Ovis aries: one gene and its partner. The protein of the gene in region 2 interacts with the protein of the main gene of each other region in a biochemical or structural test. Links are inferred from orthologs where the notes say so. Each region holds a gene or a part of one and is shown on either strand. Other genes may lie near its edges.

Region 1 (8,763 bases), on a different chromosome or scaffold from region 2:
CCCATGACCCCAAGTCAGTCCAATTGAAATAATACATCAGGTTCATTTAGAAAGGGCTTCCCTGGTGGCTCAGAGGTTAAAGCGTCTGCCTCCAATGCGGGAGACCCGGGTTTGATCCCTGGGTCGGGAATATCCCCTGGAGAAGGAAATGGTAACCCACTCCAGTATTCTTGCCTGGAGAATCCCATGGACAGAGAAGCCTGGTAGGCTACAGTCCACGGGGTCACAAGAGTCGGACATGACTGAGCAACTACACTCACCTTCATTTAGAAATAGGAATTCTCCACTTCCCCACAGTGATTCCTGCCTAGAACCTCTCCCCAGCTGAGCAGAAACTCCATTAGCTGTTGCCACGTTAAATATTGCCACCACTGTTACCAATAGCACATGCACAGGTCCTGTCCATTTCCAAAGGAAAGGTTTTACTGCTCACTCACCAGTCTCTGAGGCCAGTAGCCCTCTTGCCAAGCTCTCTGGTAGGTTGTCTCCTTCCTCTCGTGAAACTGCCTACCTCCACCACCTCCATCATCCAAGCTGGCAAGGGGGTTCCTATGGAGAGGGAGGTCTATCTCAGGAAGTCCTTCCTTCCCTCAGACCACAATCTCTCTTGCTGCAGTTGATGCCCATTCTCTGGAAAGAGTCTCAGCAGGCTGTCTCTTCAGTGTGTCAGCACACTCTAGCAATACCTTGGTCTGCTGCTGCTAAGTCACTTCAGTCGTGTCCGACTCTGTGCGACCCCATAGGCGGCAGCCCACCAGGCTCCCCCGTCCCTGGGATTCTCCAGGCAAGAACACTGGAGTGGGTTGCTATTTCCTTCTCCAATGCATGAAAGTGAAAAGTGAAAGGGAAGTCGCTCAGTCGTGTCCGACCCTTAGCACGGACTGCAGCCTACTAGGCTCCTCCATCCATGGGATTTTCCAGGCAAGAGTACTGGAGTGGGATGCCACTGCCCTCTCCTGCTCTCCTCTAAATGAATCATCCATTGGGAAGCATTCCCTCTTGTCTCACTTCACTCTCTCCTGCTGGTCATTACTTCCCAGCTTTGAGAGAAGAATTAAGTCAGGCCAAGCCCCAACATGTGTAACTGATTTTCAAGAAGGGACTCCGGGACTTCCCTGATGGACCAGTGGTTAAGAATCTGCCTTGCAATACAAAGGACATGGGCTCAATCCCTGGTCAGGGAACTAAGAGCCCACAAGCCACAGAGCAACTCAGCCTGTGTGCTACAGCTACTAAGCCCCTGCACCGCAAGTAGAGAATCCATGTGTCGTAAAGAAAGATCCCCCATGCCACAAGGAAGATCCCACATGCCACAGCTCAGACCCAACCCAGCACATAATAAATAAATATTTTTTAAAAAGAAGGGGCTCTATGGGCCTTGGGGGCATCACGGGCAATCAGCACCTCCCTGCCCTCCCTCCCCACATCTCCTGACTCTCCAAGGAAACAAGTGTCCAAGGAGGGGCCCGAGAAGCCCTGTCCTGGAGTTAAGGACCAGCTGGAAAGGCAGCCCGGTCACTCAGCTGGACAGAGCCGGAGGAGGGATGGAGAGAACAGATGGCACCTTCTGTCTCCTCCCCATGCCTTCCACGCTGCCCCATGGCAGGAAATGCCGGTTGGCTTGGAGGTCTTGGACCTCTAAGGGATAGGCCCCAGTCAGGGGTGACCTCATTGTGCCACACAAAAATCAGGCTCCGCCCTCTGTCCCCCAATCCACCTTCATCACTTGCACTAACACTGCCCTGTCCATAAAGTGAGTGCTCGGATGCCCTAGCCGGGCTCTCTTCTGCCTCCACACCTTTGCACACGCAGTTCCTTTGGTCTGAATACACTACCCTCCTTTCTAGGTCAAAGTTCACTTAGGCAACCTATAAGGCCCAGTGACACGTCACCCCTACTCTGCCTCCATTTCAACTTCCCCACAATGTTCTGATTCAACTGAAATTCACTGTGCGCAGACCATGTGCCTGGTCTTTCCTTACTTTATCCTCATTTAGTTAGAATAAGTCATTTATAGCACATTCATGCACAGAAAAAAGCTGGAAGGGCATCAATAAAGGGCACTTACAAAACCTGGATGTTTGGTTAGAGGGTGGAAGAGAGGGGTTGACATTTTCTTTTATCTACTTCTTTGTGTCCTCCAAATGTCAAAGTAAGCATGTCATACTTCTTCAACAAGGGGAAGAAACCAACATTATTTTAAAATAATATTATTTTGCTTTTAATTGAAATAAAACAAACTCTTCAGTAGCTTACTGCTCCTGCCACTATGGAGCTCTTAAGCTTGCCCCTTTTATTCTCCCCATGAGATCATGGGCTCCTGAGGAGCAGCTGCTGCTGCTGTTTCCCTGACCTAAACACAGCACTGAGCTCCAAGTAGGTGTGGATACCCCGAATCAAAAAGGAAGCCAGAGTAGTACCAGACCTGCCACGGCCAGAAAAACAGGCAAAAGATTTCTGCACACATGCCACTGAAGATTGACCATGATTAGCTACTCACACACCCAGTTACAGAGCAAATTTTTGATTATTCTTCATGTGATTGGCTTTTGGTTAATGTCATTCAGTTTTTAATACTTATCCCTGGACAAAATTTTTGAGTAAACTTCACTGAGAATTTCTCTCTGCTACTGCTGCTCTGTGCAATAAACTTTTGGTCTTTGCCCGTCTAAAGCTCTTTGGGGTTGGTACTGTGCCATCCTTGTGTCCATTTGAGTGTTTTCCAACATCCAAAACAGGCTGATTTGTTTGCATTATACAGCTTGAAGATTCACTTCTTCCTGTTTCCCACAAAGTTGCCCCAGCTAGATGTTATCCAACAGGTGCTAGATTTTCAGGGTCAGGGCTGGTGGCAAATGCTGACATGAGCCTGATTTGGGTTTTGGTGTGAAAATGATGATTTCCTTTTCCAGAGAATGGAGGGTGGTGGGTATAGGGCTGTCTCAGAGACATGGAGGCTGGAAGTTTGATCTGAGTCCCTGCTATGGCCTAGGATTCCCACTTGACTGTGAGAACTGCCCTACCTCTCAAAGCCCCTGTGCCTCTCCTCTTTCCCCACCTCCTGCAAGGCTGCTGGGAGCATCGGGCATCTGACAATGGAGTGGGCGGCCTGGGGATCTAGCCAAGGGTCTCACCAGCTCTGTACCAGCTGCACCGAGGGTGTGCTCAGCACCCGGTCAGGAAGCAGGTTGATCTCCTTCATGATGTTGGCCAGGCGCACAGGCAGCTCCTGCCTGAGGAAAGTGAACGAGGTTTTCTCACAGGCATTGCTGGACCCTGCAGGGAGAGGGAAAGGTGAGCCTAAGAGTTACAAAGCACTGGAGCCAGAAGACCTCCTAGTGGTGGGGAAGGGGTCAGGTCACTAAATACTTCATTTCCTGACGGTTCAGGAGAGACAAGAAGACAAGGAGGCACAGGACAAGGGGCCCCTCCTGACCCATGCAGTGGCCACCACACCACCCAGCCTAACCCTTAGGGAGGTGGTGTCCTTTCGCCACCTCCAGCTGAACCCTGCTTGCCTTCAACCACAGGGGACAGGGCCACCCTGGGCCCCCTGGGTGCTGCCTCTAGCCCAAGTTATCTCACTTCTCTTTCTTTCCCTCCTAGTAGACTCTCACTTTGCAGGGCTTGTGGGCAGAGGAGCCTGGGAAACCCATCCTACCTTGAGATGAGCTCCCCTGGCTGAGAGAAGCTATGCTCAGACCGCTGCAGCCATAGGGTCCTGGCATCATCTTGGCCCAGGTGGTCTTTATGTCCACAATAGACTTGCCCCTACATTAATGCCCACCCACCTGAGAGGTAGACAGGGTCGGGGAACTAGGGCCCAGATACTTAGATTCTTGGTCTGGCTTGAAGATGAAGAGTGAGTAGAGGACTGAATGAGGTCATGGCCTAGAGTCAGGAGACCTGGGTTCTAAGTCCAGGTTCTGCTTTTAACTCTGTCACCCAGGGCATGTCACTATCCCTCTGAAGATCTGCTTTACCCACTGAACTCCAAGTGGACCACTCTACTGTGAGTCCCTCCCTGCTGTGACAGTTCTGTTAACTGGGGTCCAGTCTGGACTAGACAACTGCTGGAGGCTGGGAGCGGGCTCAGGCAGCTTTCCTACATGGCAGGAGCTCAAACACGGAGGGAAGCAGGTGAACAAGTAATCGGGCAACAGATGCCCTGTGTCCTGGCTGCCACCTCCCCGCCCCCTCCCATCAGTGACGCAGCTGTAACCTGAGCCAGGCACTGTCCCCTCAACTCTTGAGAGACCTGGGCAACCCCTTCTAGTCCCTAGCTGGCACCATAGAAATTCCGTGCGAACAGAAACTGTCTAAACAATGCCTGTTTCAGTCACCATGTTGGCACAGCCTTCCCACTCCCCGATCACTGGTGGTAGGTGACCCTGGCCCAGGAACCCAGGGGCAGCCAAGGATGGGTACAAGCTGTCTGACTCCATTTCATGGTGCCCTGGACCCCTACCCAGCTGGAGACAGACGGCCAGGCCACAGCAGATTTGATCTTCAAGCGTCCTTGTCCTCCAAGACAGCTGGGGGCCAGCTCTTTCAGTGGGGGGAGGTGTACCAGTCAGGGCGTCTCTCCTGTTGACTCATTTGAAAGAGTCCCTCCCGCTAACAGACCCCCAGGGCAGGTCTCCTTCCCGAAGGCTCGCAATGCCCCCTAGTCACTCCTACAACACCCCCCATTTTCCTCTCTGACCTTTACTCTTGGAGTCTCCAGGACAATCCCTAGTAACCCTTCAGTGCCTGGATACACCCTCCTGCTCCAACGGCACTGACTCACTGCCCCTTCCTCTCCCAAGACTCTTCGCAAAACCCAGTAAGATACCGTGGACCCCCTCCTTCTCAGTGCCCCCACTTCCCCCTAACAGTCCAGTCTCTTCAGCCGGGGTGCCCTTAACCCTTTCAAACCCAACTGGCCCCTGCCTCCCCGTTAACTCTTTCCTGTCTGGACTCCAAGGTTTGCAAGCAAACCTTCCCTGTCACTCAGCCTCCCCACTCCTGCCCCTCGCAGACCCCCGGGGCCAGCCGCCTCCTGCTCACTCGTACCGAAGTCCAGAAACTGCTTCATGGACAGCGGCGATGGGGAGAACTTGCTGAAGTGCTCGATGTATTTGGGAGCCCCTGCCAGGGACGCATTCTTCAGCAGCGCGCGGACCCAGCGCATGGCGGTGGCGACCACTTCTCGGGCTCGGGTTCTGGACCCTGCGCGGGCAGCGCTGGCGCTCGGCTCAGCCCAGCCCAGCCCGGTGCCGCGGCGGCCGCCTCCTCCCCACCGCGACCCCGACTGGGCTCCGAGTCCCGGCCAATTGGCTTGTTGCGGCGCCCCGACGTCGCTAATGGCGTCTCACAAACAACTCCAGGAGAGCCAATAGCCTCTCCCCCCGGCACGTGGCTCCCCCCTGGGCCCGCCCCCTTAACCCAGTGTTTGCCCCGAGCGGCCTGCTGTTTTCAAGAGGCAGCGCCGAGAGCCCGCCTCCCCGGCGTCACTACGCGAGTTCTTCCTCCCGGCCTAGCCCGGATTAACCCCTCCCTCCCGAAAGGCCCGTTATTCCCTTTCCTCTTACACTCCGTTTCGCCGTTCCCTCCCCGAATCTCCTTCACTTGCCTGCCCGGAGGTTGTTCGAGAGCTTTCAACGCATCCTCTTCCGCCCGCGAGGGCCCGATTCACCTGTCCCGACTTCCACCCACCTGCTCTCCCTCAGGGCGTCTGGTGGGTTCCCAGTCTGGACGACTGTGACTCGGACTGTGGATGAACCGGGATGCGAGCCCATGCTAATCCCTCACATAGACGTGTAACACAGCTACTTCCACAAAGATCCAAGCAGCTCAGGACAAGGCAGCATTTTGCTTTTCCAGTTAAAAAACACCGAGTCAACCCCCTCATTAACGCCTAGCGGCGGCTACAATGAACTTTTAAAATCACCTTTATTATTCTCTACTCTTGGATAAGGTAATGGCAACCCACTCCAGTATTCTTGCCTGGAAAATCCCATGGATGGAAGAGCCTGGTAGGCTGCAGTCCATGGGGTCGCTAAGATTCGGGCACGACTGAGCGACTTCACTTTCACTTTTCACTTTCACGCACTGGAGAAGGAAATGGCAACCCATTCCAGTGTTCTTGCCTGGAGAATCCCAGGGACGGGGGAGCCTGGTGGGCTGCCGTCTATGGGGTCGCACAGAGTCGGACACGACTGAAGCGACTTAGCAGCAGCATTTGACCCGAGAAAGCAACCTTTTTCGCACTTGGCTTTCTTAGAGAAAGGTCCTGGAAGATGATCTGTGCTGGAGGCCAAGAGCCGGCACTTCACAGCAGTCCGGATCTCTCATGGGAACAAAGCTCGTCCTCTTGTGGTCCAACGCCAGATATGTCCTGTCCCGGTATCCCACCCACTTGCCCCTATGAGGTGTTTTTCCACTTCAATCCTTGGCCCACACTCACCAAGTGCCAAATAGTTGCTAGGTTTATATGCTGGGAATGGGAAACACAGACTGGATTGGGATACACAGACAGGATTGGGACATGGTCTTTTGGCTTGATTGTTTCATTTCTCAGTTGAGAGAGCTGCATAAGTAAATAATTAAATAGTTAACAACAGATGCAGTTGTAACCAGTGCAGAGCTGTGTGCAAGGCTTCACAATGGAAGGGACTCTCTTAGCTGAATGAATAATATTCCATATGCCAGGCACTCTTTGCATGCATCATGTCATTGAATTCTCCAGATAGCTCTACCGTGCTGCTGTTACCACCATTTTACAGTTGAGCAAACAGGTTCAGGTACCATCTTCCACTGCAAATCTGAAGGTGTTACTTCCCTTGCTCACAGCCTTGGCTTTCACTTCTTACAGGAGCCTTTCCAGTTCTCACATGATCTACTTTAACTCTCTAGCCTCATCTCTTCCGCACTCCCCTGCTCAAGTCCCACCCATACTTATCTAGTGCCTTGAACCAGACTTCAATCTTCCCACTGTTGCAAATACGGTCTCCTACCCATGGATCATTCTTTCTTCTCACTTTCACCTACCCATTCTTCTGCACTCACCAAAATCGTCAATGACCTAATTGCTAGCTGAATGGAGTACAGGTAACAAAAGGCACAAATCCCCAAATTTTCCACTATATGTTCAACTTGGGTTGGTGGGGCGTTCTCAGGGACTCAGACTGACAGAAACTTTATCTCAACACAGGCTTCCACAGCGTCAGAGCTGGGAGAAGCAGAACTGGGAGAGTCTCACCCAGCAATTAACTGTCTCAGCCCAAAACTGATCCCCTTCCCTCCGGCTGACAACTCATTGGCCAGAATGGCATCATCCAACCAGGAGGACCTAGGAAGTGCAATCCAGCCCTGTGCCCAGGAGAGGGAGAATCATCTGATGGGTTTTTTTTTTTTTAACTGATACAAGAGCCAAGACACTTCTTTTAAAGTGTTTGGAGGTACTGCAGCTCCAAGGAACTCAATAAACTTGGCATAATACAGGGTTCTTTTCTATAAAGTGGGCATTGCTGGATCTCTGCCAGTATGTTTCTTTCATGAAAGTGTAGCTGAAACAGTCCTGAAAATGTCTACTTACTTTCACAAGTGTGTGTGAGACAGATGGTATGTTTTCATCCAAACAAGTGCTCACAGGAGATGGGGGCTGGGCCTGGGTCAAAGCGATATATAGATCCCACTTCATTCTTCAGTGGCAGCAAAGGACTGGACCGGGCTGGACTGAACTCTGATCAACTCGAGCTAGGCTTTGACGACCTACATGTGTGTTTTTTCTGACGTAGAGAATAACCCAGATTTGGAGAACTGAGGTCTCTGGTCACTGGTTGTGGGTAGGGGCTGGGGTTTTCTTGGAGGAACTAGACCATTTCACTGTCAATCAGTGACAAATCCCAGCATTGAAAGTGAGGCAGTGGGCTCTCATAGAGAGGGTAGAGGGCAGACAGCTGCCACAGGGGGCCACCTGAGGCAGCTGAAGCTGAATTGAAGATCTGCCTCTAGGCTTTTCTGAGTAGTAATTTCCAGCTTTCTTGTCAGAAAGACTTCCTTGGTGACTCAGACGGTAAAGAGTCTGCCTGCGATGCAGGAGACCCAGGTTCAATCCCTGGGTCGGGAAGATCTCCTGGAGAAGGAAGTGGCAACCCACTCTGGTATTCTTGCCTGGGAAATCCCATGGACAAAGGAGCCTGGCGGGCTACAGTCCAAGGGGTCGCAAAGAGTTGGACATGACTAAGCGATAATACTTCTTGTCAAAGGTCCTTGGGAACAATTAACAGAAGGACTTGTGACACAATTTAGGACAGAGAAGTCACAGGGTAAGCAGCCTTGCTCCATCTCCCACGTCTGAGGCTTGGTTTTGGCACTAGCAGAGGCTGGGACACGCGTGTCCACGCACCATTCAGGGTGTACAAGCACAGTCCACAGCCTTAGCCAGAGGAGGCAGCAGAGAGCTCAACCCAACTCTGCGCCTGTGAGCTCAGGTCAGAAGTGTGTCTGGAAGAGCTGATGCAGGCCAGGGCTCCCGGTTCTCCCTCCCAGAGCTAGGGAGTGGACACTAGGACTTTTCAGTTTTTCCACCCTTGGGTCACTGGTTCACCATCTGATCTACTCATCATGGTATCTAGGTCTGGTTGTGGGGAAACCGAGGCAGTAACCAGGCTCTTATCTGAAGGTAGCCATCAGATGAGGGCTCTTAGCTCTCCACCTGTGCACACAGCCTCACTCTATCATTAGCCAGGACTACCTGCTTCTACAGCAGAGTGGCTT
Region 2 (8,763 bases):
GAGGCCATGGGTAATAATGAAGCACCCCCATTACAGGATGGCACGCCAGTATGTTTTTGTAAAATGTGTTGGTAATCCTCATTCTACTTTCTAAACAGGAGCCTATTCTAGGAGTGTGCATTGATTCATTCTGGTTTGAACAGTCTCCTATTTGATATATAGGAGACCTATTGACTTAAGAGTATTGCCCCCTGTTGGCATTTGTGTGGGACAGTCCATCCTGCTACCGCTGAAGTTCTTTGAGAAAACTAAAGAACTAGAAATGTTTAGAGCTCATGAAATAATCTCTAAACCCAATTTAAAAAGTGACCCTGTCATAAAAACTAAGTTAATAAAAAGTTCATTTCCTTAAACAGTCTTCATTTAAAAACTGAAGACTATTCTCACTCAGTTAACTAAAGTAGCTGGAATTGGAAAATTTTACAATTTCTACCTAAAGAATTTAGGTTAAATTTACTTGGTACTGAAATGGCTATCCTACTAACTGACCAACTTCTCAGCTCTTTTTGACCAGGATGGTTGTACATTAAGGAAGTTATCTTTATGCCCTATATTCAATCCAAGAGGACTCTAATTACTTAAAACATTTAGGTCATAATTATAATAATTTTCATTTCCCCCATAAAATAAGCATTATGATTGCACACTTCTTCTATTGTCTGAATTTATGTAAGAGGGTATAGCTTGCTTAAAATATATATGTAAAGTTATATTTTCTTAGAAACATGGATGTTTGCAACCATTGCTTTTGAAGAGATTACTGTCATGTATTGTTTTACGTTTTCATAAAGATTGTGTTATACCAGAGGCTTCTGATTATCAAAGTGATAACCAGTTTTAACTGCCTGTATGTACCAGATTTGTGAACTAGTTTTTAAAAAAAAAACGCAGAAACAAACTATGAATAAAATGGAGTTTGCAAACTAAATACCATTCATAATTTTCACTTGTGTTTATTATCAACTGAAATTAATCAAGAAAGCCATTCACATTTAGTGAAAGTAAATTTCCTCAAGTGATCTCCCTGGTAGCATGTTTACTCATTACTTGGGGAGTGGAGATAGGATTACTTTATTGCTGCAGATATTACTACTGGTATTTCTAGTGTTATTTAGCACTTCTTTTGACATTTTATGTAAATATGCAAACAAGTAAGAACCCAAGACTCTAAACTATGACAAAACAGTCTCCAACACAAAAGCAAAAAACACTGAGGCTTTCGGAAATGTATAAAACAACCAGAACCTCCAAATTAATTTGAAAGCTGCTTTCCTAAAACTTAGCCTTTATTTATTACTTTCAAGGTTTTATATATCTAAAGTTTTAGCCCTGGGTGCTTTCATTTGCCTTCCAATTATATTATTTTCATCTATTAATTACAAGCCATTTTAATTGGGTTACTCCATCATTATGTTAAGTATGTCAAGAACTTTCACTACCAACTAATTCCTCTTTACATCTCACCCATTTGATATCAGTAATATTCTACAAGTCTCAGAGGGCTTATTTGACAAACCTAATTATTCCCAGCTTACCTCTGAGGTAAACTAACCACTCCTGGACTGTTTCACCTGTGCCCTCCCATGATTTAGCTACATCTGTCAAAAGTATATTCAAAATGTGAACTTGCTATGCACAGAAAAATGAAAACAACAAGGCTTAAGTAAGGCTAAGTAACTGAACAACAAACCGAAGATCATCTTGTACAAAGGCTAAAGTAATTTAGATCCAGTTATTAAATTCAGAGTGGAAGTACTGTAGTAAGGTATCTTAGCCAATTCAAAATTGTTAAAACATTTAAATAATTTATACAGTATAAGCTCTTTCACTAATCACAATTATTCTTCCATTATTTCTTCCAATTGCTATTCATAAGTAGTTTTACATAATTGCTAACAATATAATTGCTCTACTTTTAATATTATTTCAGGTATGCCTTTCCATTTAATCTGGGAATTCTGTTTCTCATTTGTACTCCCTGCATATCATTCTGTTAGACAACTGTACTTGTTTAATCTTTTCCTCATTTTTGGATAGCTAGATTTTTCCAATTCTTTTTCTGTTATAAAGATAGTAAGTAACTTAAAGTTTCCAATTTAAGTAGGTATGAAATAGTGCCTTCTGGCTGCCTTATTTTTCCAAACGTTTAATTACCTGCAAAGTTTAACATGTTTTAAAATGTTGGTTTTCTTATATTCTTGATGTTCTCTGAACATCTGTATACTGGGGACTTACGAGATATAAATACAGCACGCATTTCCTTCTAGTCTAATGCCACCCTCAGCTCAGAAATGAGATTATTTTCCAATTATAGGATGATAACCTGACCGCAGCCTTGAAATTAAAAGACGCTTACTCCTTGGAAGAAAAGTTATGACCAACCTAGATAGCATATTCAAAAGCAGACATTACTTTGCCAACAAAGGTCCATCTAGTCAAGGCTATGGTTTTTCCTGTGGTCATGTATGGATGTGAGAGTTGGACTGTGAAGAAAGCTGAGCGCCGAAGAATTGATGCTTTGGAACTGTGGTGCTGGAGAAGACTCTTGAGAGTCCCTTGGACTGCAAGGAGATCCAACCAATCCATTCTAAAGGAGGTCAGCCCTGGGTGTTCTTTGGAAGGAATGATGCTAAAGCTGAAGCTCCAGTATTTCGGCCACCTCATGCGAAGAGTTGACTCATTGGAAAAGACTGATGCTGGGAGGGATTGGGGGCAGGAGGAAGAGGGGACGACAGAGGATGAGATGGCTGGATGGCATCACTGACTAGATGGACGTGAGTCTGAGTGAACTCCGGGAGATGGTGATGGACAGGGAGGCCTGGCGTGCTGCGATTCATGGGGTCGCAAAGAGTCGGACACGACTGAGCGACTGAAATGAACTGAACTGAACTGAACCCGACAGTAGAACTGTAACAAATGTAACTGGAAAGGATTCTACGGCAAATTAAAATCGGAAATCTGTTTTGTAAACTTTTTTTCTTCAGAGAAGATGCTTAATCCTGCTACAGCACTCTTGAATGTGGGGATATAGCTTCCATTCATTCAGCTGCTCACACCATTTGGCTGGAAAACCTAATCATCCCGTTTCCTGTTGGGCTACAATCCTGAACTTGAATCTTTGTCACCCAGTACAGCCTGCGAGGAGCGAGGCCCCAGACTTGGGGGCCACAAGGGTGTGCTAAGGCTGGGGGCGCACCGGCGAGCACAGATGCCCCCTCGGGCGGCCCTCCGCCAGAGCGCCTAGCAGGCTCTCGGTGCCCGGCTGGGCCGGGAGCCCCCTCCCATCCATCCTCAGGGCGGGGCCAGGCCCCTCAGCCCACCTCTGACCACTTCACCTCCCGCAGTCCCGCTCTTGCCGCCTTTTTAGGCCCCTCCCTTTCGACCGCGCCCGTCACGGCGCTCAGGTCCTGTCTCCCCGCCCCAGCGACGCCTTCGCCACCGAGCCCACCACTTTCCACTCCTCCCCACATCTAATCCTCCCAGATTCGGCCTGCTGGAACGCCCCCGCCCCCCGTCGTTCAATAGTAGCCGCCCCGACCTGCTCTGGGTCACCCTCAGCCCCTCATTTCCCGGAGAAAGACCATACGTTCTCCGGTCCGTGGAGCGGGTGGGGCGAGGCTCCGCAGCCCGTTTTACGACAACTTGCGGCCGCGCGGCGCGCCTGACGGCAACGCCGCGCTGCTCTTGGAGAGGTCACTCCGGAGACGGCGTTGGTTTTGGGGTGTGGGGGCCGTGGCACTATGTGGCGCGTCTGTGCGCGACGGGCTCAGAATGCAGCCCCCCGGGCGGGATTCGGGGCTCGGTGGACGGCCTTTCGGGAGGAGCCGGGAGCTCGGTGCGTGACCCCGCAGGCTGGCTCGGCTCTGGCTCGCTACAGCAGCAAGACCCCAGGATATGGCAGGGTCCGGGCACTCTGCGGCTGGAGCCCCGTCTCTTGGGCCACACCGCGGAATCGCGTCTTGCTGCAGCTCTGGGGATCGCCTAGCCGCCGCTGGTACAGCCTCCCCCCGCATCAGAAGGTAAGCCCCAGAACCTGTCCTTCGCGGGACCCCGTTGTCCTTCACGGCAGACTTGTTGGCTTGGGATCCTTCCTTAGAGGCCTTGATGATCCTCCGTCTCCGCCCCCCTCCAGGTATACTCTGTCACTGTCCCTTCTCCATTACCCAGCTTTGCTCTACCTCTTGAGCTTCCCTCTCCTGACCTATGCCATTGAAGAAGGAGCTGCAGGCTTCCTTCTGACCGGTTCCGTTCAAAGAGCGCCAAGCCTGGGGCGGTCTGTGGAATGTCTGCTGAGTACATGCTGTTAGACCCACCCAGTACAGCGGAACGGGAGATCTGTCCTTCTGGTTGAGAGCTTTTGGTGTTAGGAAATCCCTTTATAAGCCCATTGCCCAATGTGTGAAGAGACTCAGACTCAGCATTAAATTAGTCTGAATTGAACGAGGTGTTACACCAGATTGGGAGTTAGGTAGCTCTTAAAAATGAGTATTTCTCCCTTTTCTCCTCTAGGTTCCATTGCCTTCACTGTCCCCTACAATGCAGGCAGGTACCATAGCCCGGTGGGAAAAGAAGGAAGGAGAAAAAATCAATGAGGGTGAACTAATTGCAGAGGTAAGTTGTAAATGAGTTAGAAGAGACTAGCTTAGACTAAACGGAGCCTTAACTTTCTGAGTAGGTAATTATCCCTTTTTTCTGGAGAATTCCGTGGACAGAGGAGCCTGATGGGCTGCTGTCCATGGGGTCACAAAGAGTCGGACACGACTGAAGCAACTTAGCATGCATGCATGCATTGGAGAAGAAAGTGGTGACCCACTCCAGTGTTCTTGCCTGGAGAATCCCAGAGATGGAGGAGCCTGGTGGGCTGCCATCTATGGGGTTGCAGAGAGTTGGACAGGACTGAAGCGACTTAGCATGGATGCATTAAGAAACTTAGATGTTTTTTACAGTTTGATATGAGAGATTGGTTAGCCAAGTTAGCAGCAACTAACCAAACTGATTTTTAGCCTGGGTGTTTTTAATAGTAATTCTTTCAAACCTGTGATAGAGGCTTTATTTTCACTGTTGAACTGTATGATTTTTTTTTTCATTGCTGTATGATTGATTTACAATGTTGTGTTAAATACTCTTGTCCATTATGGTTTATCACAGATACCAAATGTAGTTCCCTGTGCTATATAGTAGGACCATGTTGCTCTCCATTCAGTATGTAATAGTTTGCATCTGCAAACCCCCAAATCCTACTCTGTTCTTTCCCTGCCCCACCCCCCGATCACAAGTCTATTCTCTGTGAGTTCATTTCTGTTTCGTAGATAAGTTCATTTGTGCCATTTTAGATTCCACATATTTTTCTTTCTTTTTCTGACTGACTTCACTTTGAACTGTATGATTTTAGACACAAGTTAATAAAACTTGATACTGGCAGCAGAAGCCTAAGCTCCTGCTTTTGTGTTAAAAGGTTGAAACCGATAAAGCTACTGTTGGATTTGAGAGTGTGGAGGAGTGTTACATGGCAAAGATCCTTGTTGCTGAAGGTACCAGAGATGTTCCAGTTGGAGCAATCATCTGTATCACAGTTGAAAAGTGAGTAGGATCAGGGGAATCTGTGAAAGTCAGGTGCTTAAGTGGAGTATTTTAACCTATAACTGAGGAGTTAGTTAAAGGCTTCTAAGGCTGATACATGTGCTTTATAACCCCTTTATACTTACATGTTCTTTCTTTTTCTTAGGCCTGAAGATGTTGAAGCCTTTAAAAATTACACACTGGATTCTTCAGCAGCACCTGCCCCACAAGCAGCCCCGGCACCAACCCCTGCCGCCGCCGCTCCATCACCTGCGCCTTCTGCTCAGGCTCCTGGTAGCTCATATCCTACTCACATGCAGGTGAGGCTCAGCCTCTGGGTGTCTGCTTTAGAAAATTTATTATTTACTCATTATTTTTCATAGATGAGTCGCATCCTGGAAACTAGCATTAAACCTGGCTAGTTTTTGTCATTTGAAAGTAAATAGAGATTTAAACATGAAAATTGACAACATTTGTTCTTAGTGGTTATTTCCAGATGTGTGTACTTGGATAGTTCTTTTAACCTTTCTCAGCCTCAGTGTAGCAGGTAGGATAATGTTTGGTACTTTTCATTCAAGAATATCATGTTGGATTTTGAGGATAGTTTGTACTTGTACTTTGCCATGCTAAGTCGCTTCAGTCGTGTCCGATTCTGTGATCCTGTGGACTGTAGCCCACCAGGCTCCTCTGTCCATGGAATTCTCCAGGCAGGAGTACTGGAGTGGGTTGCCATGTCCTCCTCCAGGGGATCTTCCCAACCCAGGGATCAAACCTGTGTCTCTTTTATGTCTCCTGCATCGGCAGGTAGATTCTTTACCACTGAGCCACCAGGGAAGCCTCTTTCCTGAGCTCTCTGTTTGCACATTGTGGGACAGTGTTATCCATGCTTTAGAAAACGGTGATGGCTATTATGTGAATTTCTCTGAGCAACAAAAGAAAAATACTATTGACTATAGTCTTTAAAAGTTAAGCAAGAATTTGTAACTGATCATTAGCTTTTTTTAGTATTAATTTATTTTTTAATGGAAGGATAATTGCTTTACAGAATTTTGTTATCAGCCAAATATCAACATGAATCAGCCATAGATCATTAGCTTTTAAGGAGTTGAATTTCATCAACTTTAACTTAATATGGTGGCTCTGTGGTAAAGAATTTGCCTGCCAATGCAGGAGACGTGGGTTTGATCCCTGGGTTGAGAAGATCCCCTGGAATAGGAAATGGCAACCCACTTCAGTATTCTTGGTGGGAAAATCCCATAGATAGAGGAGCTTGGTGGGCTACAGTTCGAGGGATTGCAAATACAGTGAGGCATGACTGAGTACAAGCCGTGACATAAAGATAGATATTGCTTGAACATTAATACCCAGGTTAGAATTGAAATTAAGCCAGTAACATTGCTGAGTGATTTATCACTTGACCAGTTTTAACATGCCATTTTAATAGCAAGATGTCAGGATGTGTAGAAAGAAGTCTTCCTTAAAATAATTATTTGGGAAAGGCTCAGAATAAAAGTGACCTACACATGTAAAAAGATAAAAAAATTAATTGTCCAAAAATTTTGTGACTTTATTCAGGGCAAAAATGTTATGGGAGTTGGGGCATAAAAACTGTGTCAGAATTTTTTTCCTCAGTCCTGAGTTTCTTCCTCTTCTGAGGTTATGGTTGGTTACTTTCTATATTCTTCCTCCTGCTAAAGACCTTTGGATCCTTTTGTTAATTTGTTATTATACAGTACCTAAGAGGCAATGGCAACCCACTCTAGTACTCTTGCCTGGAAAATCCATGGACGGAGGAGCCTGGTAGGCCGCAGTCCATGAGGTCATGAAGAGTCGGACACGACTGAGCAACTTCACTTTCACTTTTCACTTTCATGCATTGGAGAAGGAAATGGCAACCCACTCCAGTGTTCTTGCCTGGAGAATCCCAGCGATGACGGAGCCTGGTGGGCTGCCGTCTATGGGGTCACACAGAGTCGGACACGACTGAAGTGACTTAGCAGCAGCAGCAGCAGCAGTATCGGCAGGCAGGTTCTTTACCGCTAGCACCACCTGGGAAACCCACTTATATATACTCCCTGTATAGAGTTTTTTTAGTAGGCGTGAAGTGCTGTCTATTGAATAAAAGCCCCCAGTTAGTGTTTTTCCTTGACATGTAGTGTTCTGTTTTCTCAGAGTAAGTGAAATAATCCAGTAGTATTTAGAAAAGACTAACAATAAAGAATAAGCGTCAAATAGACATATATAATCTGGAGGAGGGCATGGTAATCTACTCCAGTATTCTTGCCTGGAGAATCCTCATGGACAGAGGAGCATGGAGGGCTACATTCCATGGGGTCTCAAAGAGTCAGACATGACTGAGCGATTCAGCACAGACATGTATAATAGCGTCACAACAAAGCTGAAGGTGGTAAATGTAGTCACTGTTGATTCTGTTAACTAAATCAGTGTCTACTGATTAGTTTATTAGATATTAGGATTACCCCCTGTATATTTGTGTGTTTTGGATATTGGAAATGGATAAAAGCCAGCTGCATTTTTTCCTAAAGAATTAAGACTAGAACTTTTTCTTCTCTTAGATTATTTGTAGAAATTTTTGTATAGGAATAATTTTCTTCTTTGGGCATCATGTTCTATTCCCTGGTCTTTTATTAACATTCACTCATGATGGAATTTTGCCTGGTGGTCAGTTCACACATTTATTTCATCCTGTTCAGCAAATTTTTAAAATTTTTAATTTAAAAAAAAGTTACAGAAATTTTTTTTGTCTGTGCTGGGTCTTCATTGCCAAGAGAAGGCTTTCTCTAATTTTGGTAAGCAGGGGCTACTCTCTTGTTATGGTGCTTGGACTTCTTATTGTGATGACTTCTCTTGTTGCAGAGCATGAACTGTAGGTACAGGAGCTTCAGTAGTTGCAGCTCGAGGGCTCTAGGGCATGGGCTTAGTAATTGTGGCTCATGGGATTCGTTGCCCCAAGGCATGTGGGATCTTCTCAGTCCAGGGATCAAAGTCCTCTGAATTGGCAGGCGGATTCCTAACCACTGGACCACCAGAGAAGGTCGAGAGTTCTAAGTTTTGTTTTGCTTTTTTCCCCACAGCTTCCTGAGACATCATCAATTAAAATGACTTTTCTCTCAGCATAATCCTTATGTTAAATAGATGCAAAAGACTTAAGAAGATAGCAAACAAAACCGTAACTGAGTGAGC

What was found.
Region 1: the proteins of DLAT (region 2) and PDK2 form a complex in vitro, tested with the Homo sapiens proteins (2 studies listed by BioGRID). The link is inferred for Ovis aries from reciprocal best matches to the Homo sapiens genes DLAT and PDK2.

What each region holds. Positions count from the first base shown.
Region 1 is NC_056064.1:36,289,830-36,298,592, forward strand, and holds the start of PDK2 (pyruvate dehydrogenase kinase, isozyme 2), read right to left. Parts: upstream 5,296-8,763; 5' UTR 5,174-5,295; coding exon 5,056-5,173; intron 4,696-5,055; exon of another isoform or gene 3,732-4,695; coding exon of another isoform or gene 3,662-3,731; intron 3,277-3,661; coding exon 3,135-3,276; intron 1-3,134. UniProt on the Homo sapiens protein: Kinase that plays a key role in the regulation of glucose and fatty acid metabolism and homeostasis via phosphorylation of the pyruvate dehydrogenase subunits PDHA1 and PDHA2.
Region 2 is NC_056068.1:22,024,897-22,033,659, forward strand, and holds the start of DLAT (dihydrolipoyllysine-residue acetyltransferase component of pyruvate dehydrogenase complex, mitochondrial), read left to right. Parts: upstream 1-3,695; 5' UTR 3,696-3,740; coding exon 3,741-4,019; intron 4,020-4,509; coding exon 4,510-4,611; intron 4,612-5,455; coding exon 5,456-5,580; intron 5,581-5,725; coding exon 5,726-5,879; intron 5,880-8,763.